Cricetulus griseus: one gene and its partners. The protein of the gene in region 3 binds, or shares a complex with, the protein of the main gene of each other region. Links are inferred from orthologs where the notes say so. Each region holds a gene or a part of one and is shown on either strand. Other genes may lie near its edges.

Evidence for each region.
Region 1: Nup85 (region 3) and Nup107 share a complex: the UniProt entries of both Homo sapiens proteins name them as parts of the nuclear pore complex. The link is inferred for Cricetulus griseus from reciprocal best matches to the Homo sapiens genes NUP85 and NUP107.
Region 2: Nup85 (region 3) and Cetn3 share a complex: the UniProt entries of both Homo sapiens proteins name them as parts of the nuclear pore complex. The link is inferred for Cricetulus griseus from reciprocal best matches to the Homo sapiens genes NUP85 and CETN3.

The regions. Positions count from the first base shown.
Region 1 is NW_023276806.1:138,600,059-138,603,708, reverse strand, and holds part of Nup107 (nuclear pore complex protein Nup107), read right to left. Parts: intron 3,505-3,650; coding exon 3,402-3,504; intron 748-3,401; coding exon 587-747; intron 1-586. UniProt on the Homo sapiens protein: Plays a role in the nuclear pore complex (NPC) assembly and/or maintenance. Required for the assembly of peripheral proteins into the NPC. May anchor NUP62 to the NPC. Involved in nephrogenesis.
Region 2 is NC_048595.1:302,231,489-302,235,594, reverse strand, and holds the start of Cetn3 (centrin-3), read right to left. Parts: upstream 2,811-4,106; 5' UTR 2,693-2,810; coding exon 2,676-2,692; intron 1,480-2,675; coding exon 1,344-1,479; intron 1-1,343. UniProt on the Homo sapiens protein: Plays a fundamental role in microtubule-organizing center structure and function. As a component of the TREX-2 complex, involved in the export of mRNAs to the cytoplasm through the nuclear pores.
Region 3 is NC_048600.1:128,167,566-128,171,215, reverse strand, and holds part of Nup85 (nuclear pore complex protein Nup85), read right to left. Parts: intron 2,249-3,650; coding exon 2,127-2,248; intron 308-2,126; coding exon 173-307; intron 69-172; coding exon 1-68. UniProt on the Homo sapiens protein: Essential component of the nuclear pore complex (NPC) that seems to be required for NPC assembly and maintenance. As part of the NPC Nup107-160 subcomplex plays a role in RNA export and in tethering NUP96/Nup98 and NUP153 to the nucleus.

The DNA of each region.
Region 1 (3,650 bases), on a different chromosome or scaffold from region 3:
CCAGGGTGGCTGGAGAGATGGCTCAGAGGTTAAGAGCACTGAGAGGTCATGAGTTCAATTCCCAGCAAACACATGGCGTCTCACAATTCTCTGTAATGAGATCTGGTGCCCCCTCTTTTGGTGTGTAGTATACATGCAGGCAGAACACTATATACATAAATAAATAAATCTTTAAAAATAAAAAAGAAAGGAAAGAAAAAGTTCCAGGCACCACACACGTCTATTCCTGCCTAATCAGCAATGGACAGACACATGTCAACGACAAGGTCATGGCATCAATCCTGTAAGTTAGTCAGCCCTGCATCACAGGGGAACTTAGATGAATCATCATCACTTTTGGAAAAAGTTCAAGTGCTGGAAAGATGGTTCAGCAGGGGTTAAGAGCACCCACATGGCAGCTCACAAGTATCTGTGACTCCAGCTCCAGGGATTCGGATGCCCCTGGCCTCCACAGGCCCCTGCACTCACATGCACATCCCCACTAGCACACACCTACACACAATTAAAAATGAAAAATTATACACGTAGTCAAGTTCCAAGAGTGAATCGGGAAAATCACAAAGACTAATTCTCTGTTCAGTCTCACCAGATAGGCTCTGATACACAAATGCTCTCGGATAGCATTGTCATCTTCAGCAGGAAGTGGGCTCTCCATGCCTTGCTCCTCCCACTGATTATAGATTTCTGCAATGGAATCTTGAGGGATTTTTACAAACACTTCTTTTGCAGCTTCATGTTTCTTTGATGCTGTGAAAAAGAAAAAAAACAAAAAACAAAAAACCTCAAAATATATGGACTTCTATATACTGTTGTCCTGGAATTCACCATATAGATCAAGCTGGCCTTGAACTCACAGAGGCCTGCCTGTGCCTCTGCCTCCTAAGTGCTGGGATTAAAGATGAGTGATACCATATCTAGATTGTCTGTGTACTGGCCTCTTACAGTATCAAATCACTGATTACATGTTTATATTTCAGTTCTCATACCTCTCCAAAGGTCTTGGAGATATCTCTAGTGGGCTGGCTCTTTCCCAGTGTAAGGTAACACAGACAGTTACTTTCACATACATCTATGTCTTAGAGAAGTGACATTTCCCAAAGTCTGAGGCTATGACACTATATACAAAGCTGATTACTACAGCAAGAATTTACTATTAAATGGATTTGGTTTCATGATACAAAGCCTGACAGAATAGTTGGTTTTCTCCCCTTTGGTGGGACTAGAAATTGTGGGCTGCATCTTCCCCCAGATACACGCCTGCTACATAAGCCCTCCCAGTATTGGGGAAGCCAGTTCTTCAAGGTTTAACTAGTAACACAGCAAAGCCAGAGTTCCATCTAGAACTTTTTTTGTTTGGTGGGTTTTTTGTTTTTCTTTTTCTTTTTTTTTTTTTTTAAGATTTATTTATTATATGTTCTGCCAGCACGTATGCCTGCAGGCCAGAAGGCATACGTGATCTCATTATAGATGGTTGTGAGTCACCATGTGATTGCTGGGAATTGAACTCAGGACCTCTGGAAGAGCAGTCAGTGCTCTTCACCTCTGAGCCATCTCTCCAGCAAGGAAGGCTTTCTTGGCTGACGGTACCATTTTTAGGATGACTGTAAGCAAGTGCCTGTGATTTTCAGGTTGCAAACCATGTTGGAAAGTGTCCTAATTTCTTTTCTGCTGCTATGATAAAATAGTCCAAGAGAAGGCAACACAGGGGAGAAAGGTCTACTTTAGCTCACAGTTCCAAGTTATAATACACAAAACAGCAGAAAAGTCAAGGCAGCAAAACCTCATAACAGCTGGTCATCTCATATCCAAACCAATGCATCACATCACACCCATAGTTAGGGGTGCAGAGAAATGGATGCATGTGTCTCACCCACAGTCAGGGGTGCAGAGAAATGGATGCATGTGTCACACCCACAGTCAGGGGTGCAGAGAAATGGATGCATGCATACTCTCTTGGTTGCTTGCACTCAGCTCAAGTTCTCTACTGCAGTACAGTCCTAGAAGTTCTGCCTCAGGAATGGTGAACTACGTAACTGCTTCTTAATCTCTGAAGCATTAGTTTTTCTTTTCTTAGTTCCTGTTTCTAGGCTGTCACAAATTTGGTATTGTGGTTTATTAATACAGTTTTGTTTGTAAGACGTAGTTTTATTTTAGGACATTACTAAATAATGGATTCCCTAATGGTTCGTAAAGTCAATTTACTCTGAGACTGAACAACATGAGGAAACCTTTATAATGAGTACCTGGATGGGATTCCTGCACAGCTTTGCTCAGCTGTTTACGCTAGCATATGGCCTGCTACATGGGGATCGATGCTATGCACCTCTTTGTGGGAATTCTCAGCCTTTTACATGCACGTGAAGTGTGGTCCTTGGTCAAGTGTTCCTGTTTGGAGATATATTTCACAGCTTCTGCTAAAGAACTACTTACTGACTTGGGGCTGTGGAAGTGGCTCAGTTGGGAGCACCAACTGCTCTCTAGATGACCCAGGTTCAATTCCCAGCACCCACATGGCAGCTCACAACTGTCTGTAACTCCAGTTCTAGAAGATCCATGGAACACATATATGCATGCAGGCAAAATACCCATAAACATAAATCGTAAACAAACAAACAAACAAACTACTGACCCAGGAGACCATGCAACTTGTGCTTTGTAAGAGTGAGGGCCTAGCTGAGGGGACGTCTCAGCAGGTAAAGATGCTCATTGAGAAGCCCAACATGGTGGAATGAGAGAAGTTGTAAGAAGAGTAAACTGTCCTCTGACCTCCACACATGCACCATGGTACACACATACTCCCCACTCAAAAACAAATACTAAATAGATGTAGTAACAACAAGCACCTGTCACTGATAATGGGCAAAGGTCAAAACTGTGACTTTAGTATTAAAGACTGAGTATGTTAGAGATAATTAGCATAGGCCTGTCATTATCAGGTTACTCAGTGTTTACACATATGAGTGTTCTGCCTACATGAATTATGTGCATCATGTGTGGACCTGGTACTCACAGGAGCCAGAAGATCCCCTGGACCTGAACTATGGATGGTTGTGAGCTGCCATGTGGGTGGTGGGAACTGAACTTGGTTCCTCTTCAAGAGTAGCAAGTGCTCTCAACTATGAGCCAGCTCTTCAGCCCCAATAAACAGTTACTGAACGAACAGATGACTACTTAATGCTGTAGTCAATTCAGATGGCTTTCCAATGGATCACTGGATCACTGAGGGTACACAGGTGGAGGCAACTGATTGCCCAAGAGCACCCTGCTCCCTGGTACTAATGTAAGCTATCTCAAGTGTCCCTCCTTCTCATTTATTTATGAAATATATGAAATGTTCTGCAAAAACAAAAGTTAAAAGAAAAGAACATATGGATCTGATAAAATGTGAGAGGACAACCCACCTAAGAACTTTCTCATGATGGCGTTGCCCTGCTTCAGTGCTTCTGCCCTCTGTGCTGGGTCGAATACCAGCCAGTCAATCACATCCACCTTTACACGGTCCTCCTGGTCATCGGAAGCAGAGAAAACCCATTTATTTCAAAGCTATCTTGCAAATGAGTGGAAGTTACAACACACTCTAAATGGAAACATTTTCCCCTCATGATATAAAATTATGAAAGAAGCCAATGTTCCTCTGTTCTACTTAACAG
Region 2 (4,106 bases), on a different chromosome or scaffold from region 3:
CCATACTTAGATTGCTTAAAACCCCCCTACAATGTTGCCGAATTAAAACTACTATAAACATTAAGGCTACTAAAAGATTTCATAAATGCTAGTAGACTGAATAAGATCCTCACCAATTTCTCCAATCTTTACTAGTAGTTTTGGATTTTTTGTTTGTTTGTTTGTTTTTGTTTTTGTTTTTGGAGACAGGGTTTCTCTGTGGCTTTGGAGGCTGTCCTGGAACTTGTATACCAGGCTGGTCTCAAACTCACAGAGATCCGCCTGCCTCTGCCTCCCAAGTGCTGGAATTAAAGGTGTGCACCACAACCGCCCAGCTCCTTTACTAGTAATTTTAAGCCTTAAATTTGACATAGTCCCTCAGCATGTATCAACATAAGGCATCAGACAATGTACATCCTTTGTAGCAAAGAAAAGAAAAATAAGAGTTTGTCCGTATTATCTTTGAAAATTCAAAGATTGAGCCAGGTGGTGGTGTTGCATGCCTTTAATCCCAGCGCTTGGGAGGCAGAGGCAAACAAATCTGAGTTCTCGGTCAATCTGGTCTACAAAGCTGAGTTCCAGGACAGCCAGGGCTGTTACATAAAGAAACCTTGTCCAACAAAAATATAAAATAAAGATAAATAATAAAAGCTTGAAAGGATACATTTTCAATCTCGGAAACATCTGAGCAAAGGTAACACTCTCTCAATCTGAAAATTGTCTGTGCTGTGCTTAAGTGATAGCTCAGTGGATAAGAGCGCTTGTCCTGCACTCACGAGGACCAGAACTGGAACTGTAACCACCCACATAAAGACAGGCATGGCTACAAGTGTCCGTAACCCCAGCATTGAGGGGTAGATCGGGATGTGATTCCAGAGTTCACTCTCTAGCCAACCTAGGCTATGAGCTTCCAATTCAGTGAGGTGCCCTGTCTCCAGGCAGTAAGGTAGATGGTGATGAAAGATACACAAAGCCCCACTCTGCCTTCCACACACTACACAATGTGGTTTACATGCCTGCACAGGCACATGCACATGCACATGCCACATACATGTTTTTTTTAAAGAATCTGAGCTACTCCGTCCTCCAGAAGAAACCAAAAATGGGAAGAATAAGCTAAGAACTGTTCTTTCACCTGGGTGAATGAAAAAGCCTTACTTCCCACCAAATGTACTTTTACATTTAAATACGAGTTTCTAAAAGCCATATTAGGGTTTTTTATTCAATTTTATTGCAGCCCCTGTAAGTGGATACTGAAAACAGCTTCAGGGTTCTAAAACAAGTTTTTAAAATAGACTTTAAAGCAACAGTCAAAAGTGCAATTCATTTAAACAAAAGAGATGTGTCATCAAATACACTGTTACCTTTAATTCATGATAATCTATTGCGTGGTCTTTGTCGGTATCAAAGAGCTCAAAGGCATCTTTAATTTCTTGCTTCTGTTCTTCAGAGAGCTCTCTTCGTTTTTTTCTCTTTGTTTTGTCTACTACAAGCTCACTTCTGTGACACAGGAAAATGTGTTTAGTCCACTTCAACCCAACTCACTTAGAACAAAGAATGGTTTTCTAAACTTCAACAAAGCAGAATAGTCTGGAGAATAAAGAAGCTGTCCCTAAGTCAACGTCTTGTACTCCAAATGTACTTTTATATACCAAAATCCAAAGCACTATTAGTTGTTATTCATGTTACCTACCAAGAGCATGAAAACAAATATAAAAATCCATGTGAAAGTAAATTTCACAAATGACAACCACGATATATGGTTTACCTTGGACAGCTTCTAATTAAATTCTCACAATTACTACAAAGATTAACCATAAAGCTTATAAGGTGAGTCACTTTAACACTGCAAGTTCAAAATGCTTTCAGATTATACATTTCTAACAGTGCTTTGTGTTTTCATTCCATATTAACCAGCCAAAATATAAAAGCACCTAAACAAATACTAGACGACCAAAATAATAGCATATAATGTTCCTATTTGAGTCTGTGTGATGTTTAAAAGTGTTGTCAGTCTCAACCTATAAACAATGGGTTAAACGTCTTCATTTAAAAACTCTGGAGAAGCGTAAAAGAACATCTAAAAAGGGATTTAGGGCCAAAAACGTCTGCCTTAAAGACTGCCAATGTTTAAATGAGGCACAACACGTGTATCCGCTAGGTTTTAAGAAATGGAAGCTTGAAAGCCTGAAACACGGCTGAGTGTGTAGGCTCTTTACACCTGAAGGGCAGAAGGCTGGCAGGGGCTGAGCAGAGGTGGCCGCCCGCCACACCCACGCCGGGCCACACCCCCGCCGGGCCATCAGCGTCTACCCACTCTACAGCGCCTGCACGTGAAGATGGACAGGGTGAGGAGCCAATGGGAGCCAGTGGGCCAGGTGGGTGCCTGGACGAGAATGGCGGAAATCAAGGGCACCAGATCCGCCGGGGCGGCCGACGCACAGGGCGCCTCGACCGCGGAGAGAGCCTGGCTGTCCCACGCTTGTCCTAAGGAAGGAGGCCGCCAGGCCCGAGTTCCTCACACGCAGGAGGGAAACCTCGCGAGACTGGGCTCCCGATGCGGCGCCGGCGCAGTCCGCAGAAAAGGGCCGCACCGCCGTGATGCTCGGCGCTCTGCACCCGCGCCCGGCCCGGCTTCCCTTCCGCGCCCGCCCTGGCCCTCTGCGGAATGGACACACGGCCTCCTCGTTACCGACCTCAAAGCTAAACTCATTTTCTCTTCCGGCCAAGATGTTCCGCCCAAGGACTTTTCCACGGGAACCGCTCAACAGCCACCAACCTCCCGGCCGCGGGACCACCCACCAAACAGAGATTTCTGGTTGCGATTGGCTGAAGACTGCCAATAGTCGGCCCATTGGGGCGGGAGCCTCGCCGGCCCTCTGTTCTCATTGGTCACCGTTCGTGTCAATCAAGTACCTTTGGCCCTGCTGCCGGTGTCAGTCACCACGCTGGGTTCGGGCGCTCTGGGGGGGGAAGGGAAAATGCTCAGCACAAGCAGTCACTGGGGATCCAGCCCTTGCCACTCAGAAGGTCAAAACGTAAATCTGAGGGCTTTGTTCTCCATTCTTATTTCAGTAACTACTAAGCCACCAAGTGTTTTCCCTTTTCAACGTTTCCAAGTGATTCCAAGAATTCACCCTGTAGACCAGGCTGGCCTCAACCGCAGAGATCCGCCTGCCTCTGCCTCCCAAGTGCTGGGATTAAAGATGTGCACCACCAAGGCCGAAGACAAACTAAAGTAGGCTCATCATTATGTTGGTCTGTTAGTTTATTTACAGAAAAACTACCTAAACCACCGTTTTCAACTTGTGTGCGATTTGAGATGTATTTGTTTGCTTCTGTCCTGTATTTTCTAGTGCTGAACACTGTTTATGTGCCCATGGTCTTCATTACCCACCAGGCCTCCTGAAGCTCACCTGGATCATTCACCTGCTAAACTGAATGGCATCAAAGTCAGGAGTCTACTTTCCATTTAACCGAATGTTTGCACCAAATAAAATACCTGGTATTATTAAATATTAAATTATTAGATAATCTGAAAATAAACCATTTACATGAAGATGTTTGAAACAAAGGACAAAATTAAATTAGAAGGAATAAATTACAGAAAAATAACAAGACAATTTTTGTTTGTTTTTGTTGTTGCTTTTTTGAGACAGGGTTTCTCAGTGTTAACATCCCTGGATATCCTGCAAGTCTTTAGACCAGTCTGACCTCAAACTCAGAGATCCTCCTGTCTCTGTCTCCCACGAGCTGGAATTCAAGGTATGCATCACCACTGCCTGGTAATGTGAGATGATTTTTTTCAAAGGAACTTGATAGAAATAATAAATCGATAAAAATGCTCTCATTTAATATTAAGCTTATTCTTACAACACATAAATTTCAGACTCCTGGGAAGTAAAAGAAACAAACTATTACTACTTAGTTACGCCTTTAAAAGGGAAGTTTAAACAGACCAGCAAAGATAGTGCATTGGTTAAAAGCACTTCTATACCAGTCTGATCTCCACCACCTGCAACCTGCTAGAAACTCATAGTGGAATAAGAGACCAACCCCAAAAAGTTGTCTACTGACTACAGGTGCCATGACTGTGGCACAAACACACACACACACACACACACACA
Region 3 (3,650 bases):
CGCTCACATTCCTCACGCCAGTGCTGCCACTTCAGCTCCAGTTCAGTCAGCGTCTGAGTGTTGCCAGGCTGCGGGACGGGACAGGCCTGCTGTGAGACACTGAGACCCCAGACCTACACGTTCCCTGATCCCTATCTCCCAAGGCCGGGCAGGCAAGGAGGCTCCCACATACACTGAGAATGGGCATTGTCCTCATCAGGTCCCCAAGGATGCGGCACATGCTTGCACAGGAGGGGTTGGCATCAGCTTCTTTGGACAGCATTTGTCGTGCCTCATCCAACCGGCCCTGAAGCACCAAGACAGTCACCTGCAAAGAGATGGGAGCCAAGAGCCCCCAGCAGAAGGCTCGCTACTCCAAAGTGCTGATGCCTCCAGGCTGCCCTTGACCCGAGTCAGCAAGAACTCCTCCCTTCCAGCAGTGACTCCCAGTCATACCCTGTGCTGGCTGATTTTAAAGTAGCTTGACATGGGCTACAGTCATCAGAGAGGCTAGAACCTCAACCAAGAAAATGCCTCCATAGCATCAGGCTGTAGGTAGGTGGAAAGCATTTTCTCAATTAGTCATTTATTTGGGAGGGCCCAGCCCATGGTAGGTGGGGCCATCCCTGGGATGGTGGTCCTGAGTTCTGTATGACAGCAGGCAGAGCAAGCCATAAGGAGCAAGCCAGCAAGCAGCACCCCTCTATGGCCTCTGCCTCAGCTCCTGTCTCCAGGATCTTACTCAGTCTAAGTTCCTGCCTTGGCTTCTCTCAATGCACTATTACTCTGGGCTATGTAAATTAAGCCCTTACCTCCCCAAGTTGCTTTTGGCCATTGTATTTCATCACAAGAATAACAACCCTAAGATATGACTCCTTTAGCAAACTGTCAGTTTAAAGATAGCTGGCAACCAACTTTAAATGTTTTAACACCCGTGTGTGTGTGTGTGTGTGTGTGTGTGTGTGTGTGTGTGTGTGTGTGTGTGTGTGTGTGTACAGTTGTGTACCATGAGGAGGCCAGAGGACTATCAGGTGATCAGCACTTATGACTTAGTCCCTAGAGACAGGATCTCTCACTGAACTTAAGAGTTAGGCTGGTGGCCATCCCCAGCACCACATCACTGGGAACATAGGCAACCACGCCACCCAAACCTGTCAAAAACAACAACAACAAAAATTCCAGACCAGTAGGGCTACATAAGGAGACCTTGTCTCAAAACCCAAAGCAGACAGGCAGTGGTGTCACAGCCTTTAATCCCAGTACTCAGGAGGTAGGGATCTCTGTGAGTCAAGGTGTCAAGGCCAGCCTGGTCTACAGAGAGTTCCAGGACAGACAAACACACACAGCAAAGAAACCCTGTCTCAAAGGAAAACAAAAAACAACAAAAAACCAACAGCAACAACAACCAAAAATAAAACAACCAAGGATATTCTTTTTCTTTTGGTGATGCTAGAGATTGTGATCTCGAAGATGCCGGCAGGTATTCTAGGATGCCACAAGCCCCTGATCGGTGGTTCTCAATCTTACTAATGCTGGAACCCCAGCCATAAAATTACTTCATTGCTACTTCATAACTGTATTTTGCTACTGTTATGAATCCTTGTTTGTTTGTTTGTTTGTTTTTGAGGCAGGGTTTCTCTGTGGCTTTGGAGGCTGTCCTGGAACTAGCTCTTGTAGACCAGACTGGTCTTGAACTCACAGAGATCTGCCTGCCCCTGCCTCTCGAGTGCCGGGATTAAAGGCGTGCGCTGCCACCACCACCCCGAGCTACAGTTATAAATCCTAATGTAAGTATCTGCTATTTACATTACGGCCCTAAGCAGTCTACCTCAGAACAGCCACTGTGCTCATCTGCACTCCATCCCCACCTTAGTCCCCATCAACCACTTTGACCATCTTACCTTCTCTTCCTCAGCTCTATAAACAAATCAAACTTCCTTTCCAACAGCAAGTGTTACCCTTCATGCTAAATTAGTTTGAAACTACTCTGCAGCAGACAAAGAAAGATGTAAAACCGCTGCTAGGATCAGAAACTCAAAAGAGCCGAGCCAAGGCCTGGAGCAGTCGTCATTCTATAGCCACCTGACAGCACCAGGATGCAGAATGCAAGGCAGAAGGAAGGAGGGGGCTGCCCACGTTATACTCACCAAGTTCCAGAAGCTCTCATGTTTGCTTGGGTTCTCACTGCCCAGAACATCTGCCGATAAACTGTCTACCTCACACACGTGCAGTCGGACCCAGTCAAGAAGATGGAGGAGGAGAGGACCAGCTGAGGGGAGAGACTCATGTCACACACAAAGACCCCGGCTTCATCTGCAGCAAGTTCCACTTTACTCAAAGTACAGACACTGATGTTAAAGCAGAAAACCTGACTGCAGAGGGGTTTAATCTCCTGCAACTGGGAAGGAAAAAGCAAGGAGCTTACAAGTCAGTCCTCTGTCTCTGCAAGGCAGGACCATCTTGTTTTAACTTAAGAAAAGCAGTGTGGGAGAGAAAGACGCCACGCTACAGGGTTCAAGCAGAGGGTTTTTATTAGGGAAAGGGATCATAAAAAGGGGAAAGAGGAGGGGGGAGACTGGCTCCAGGGACAGGAGCAGCAGGAGAGAAGAAAGTGTGACAGAGGGGGAAGGGGAAAGAGGGGGATGAGGGGGAGGGGAGAGAAAGAAAGAGAGAAGGATGGATGTAGGCAGGGCCCTTTGGAAAGGGACCATCAGGTGCCTTTCCCATCACCACACCATCACCTGGTCATGTTTGATAATCTTGTGCCTCCAGTTCTATGGCCAACAGCTGGTAGTGCTGCCACAATGGCTGATTAAGAATGGTCAGTGGGAGCTGGAGAGATGGTTCAGAGGTTAAGAGCACTGGCTGCACTTCCAGAGGTCCTGAGTTCAATTCCCAGGACCCACATGGTGGCTCACAACCATCTGTAATGAGATCTGACACTCTCTTCTGGCCTGCAGGGATACATGCAGGCAGAACATTGTATATATAATAAATAATGGTCAGTGACTCTCCAAAAAACATTCCAGTGGGAGCAAGGAGGTATAGACGATGACACAGCTCCCATGAGTGAGGCAGAGAAGTAAGACCCAAGGGTCTGCAATTCCTAGCATCCCAGGAATTCAGACAGGGTTGATTTTGAGACAGGCACAGGCCTCCCAGTGAGGCGTCACTGAAATGTGGGGACCAAGGGCTCTGAGCTCAAGAGACACACAGTCCCCAGCTACCAGGACTTCGAGAAAAGCCAGAGGGGAGGAAAGGACCATGCTCCAGAAAGGAAGCCTCACGTGCAGGGCAATGGTCAGAAGTGGATAACCCCACCAGAGACCAATGGTTGGTATTGAATGGAAGGCAGAGCCATCAGTGAATGAAAAAGCAGCTTTGCGGCAGGTGGAAGAGCGGGTCTATTGAAGGTGGAGCAGGAGGGTGAGGTTCAAGCACGCAGTGATTACAAAGTGCCGGGAAGAGCATTTTTGGTCGGCTTATTCCCAGTGAGTGGAGCAGAGCAAGACCCAGTGGCTTTTGTCAAGCAAGGATCTAGCAAGAAAGGCACAAGCTGCTTGGGTGAATCGTCAATCAAGGGGCAGGGTCTGAATGGCCTGAGGTTCTGAGAAACCAGACAGGCACAGGCCACCCAGTGGGTCATCACACAAAGGTTGGGGGCTAAGAGC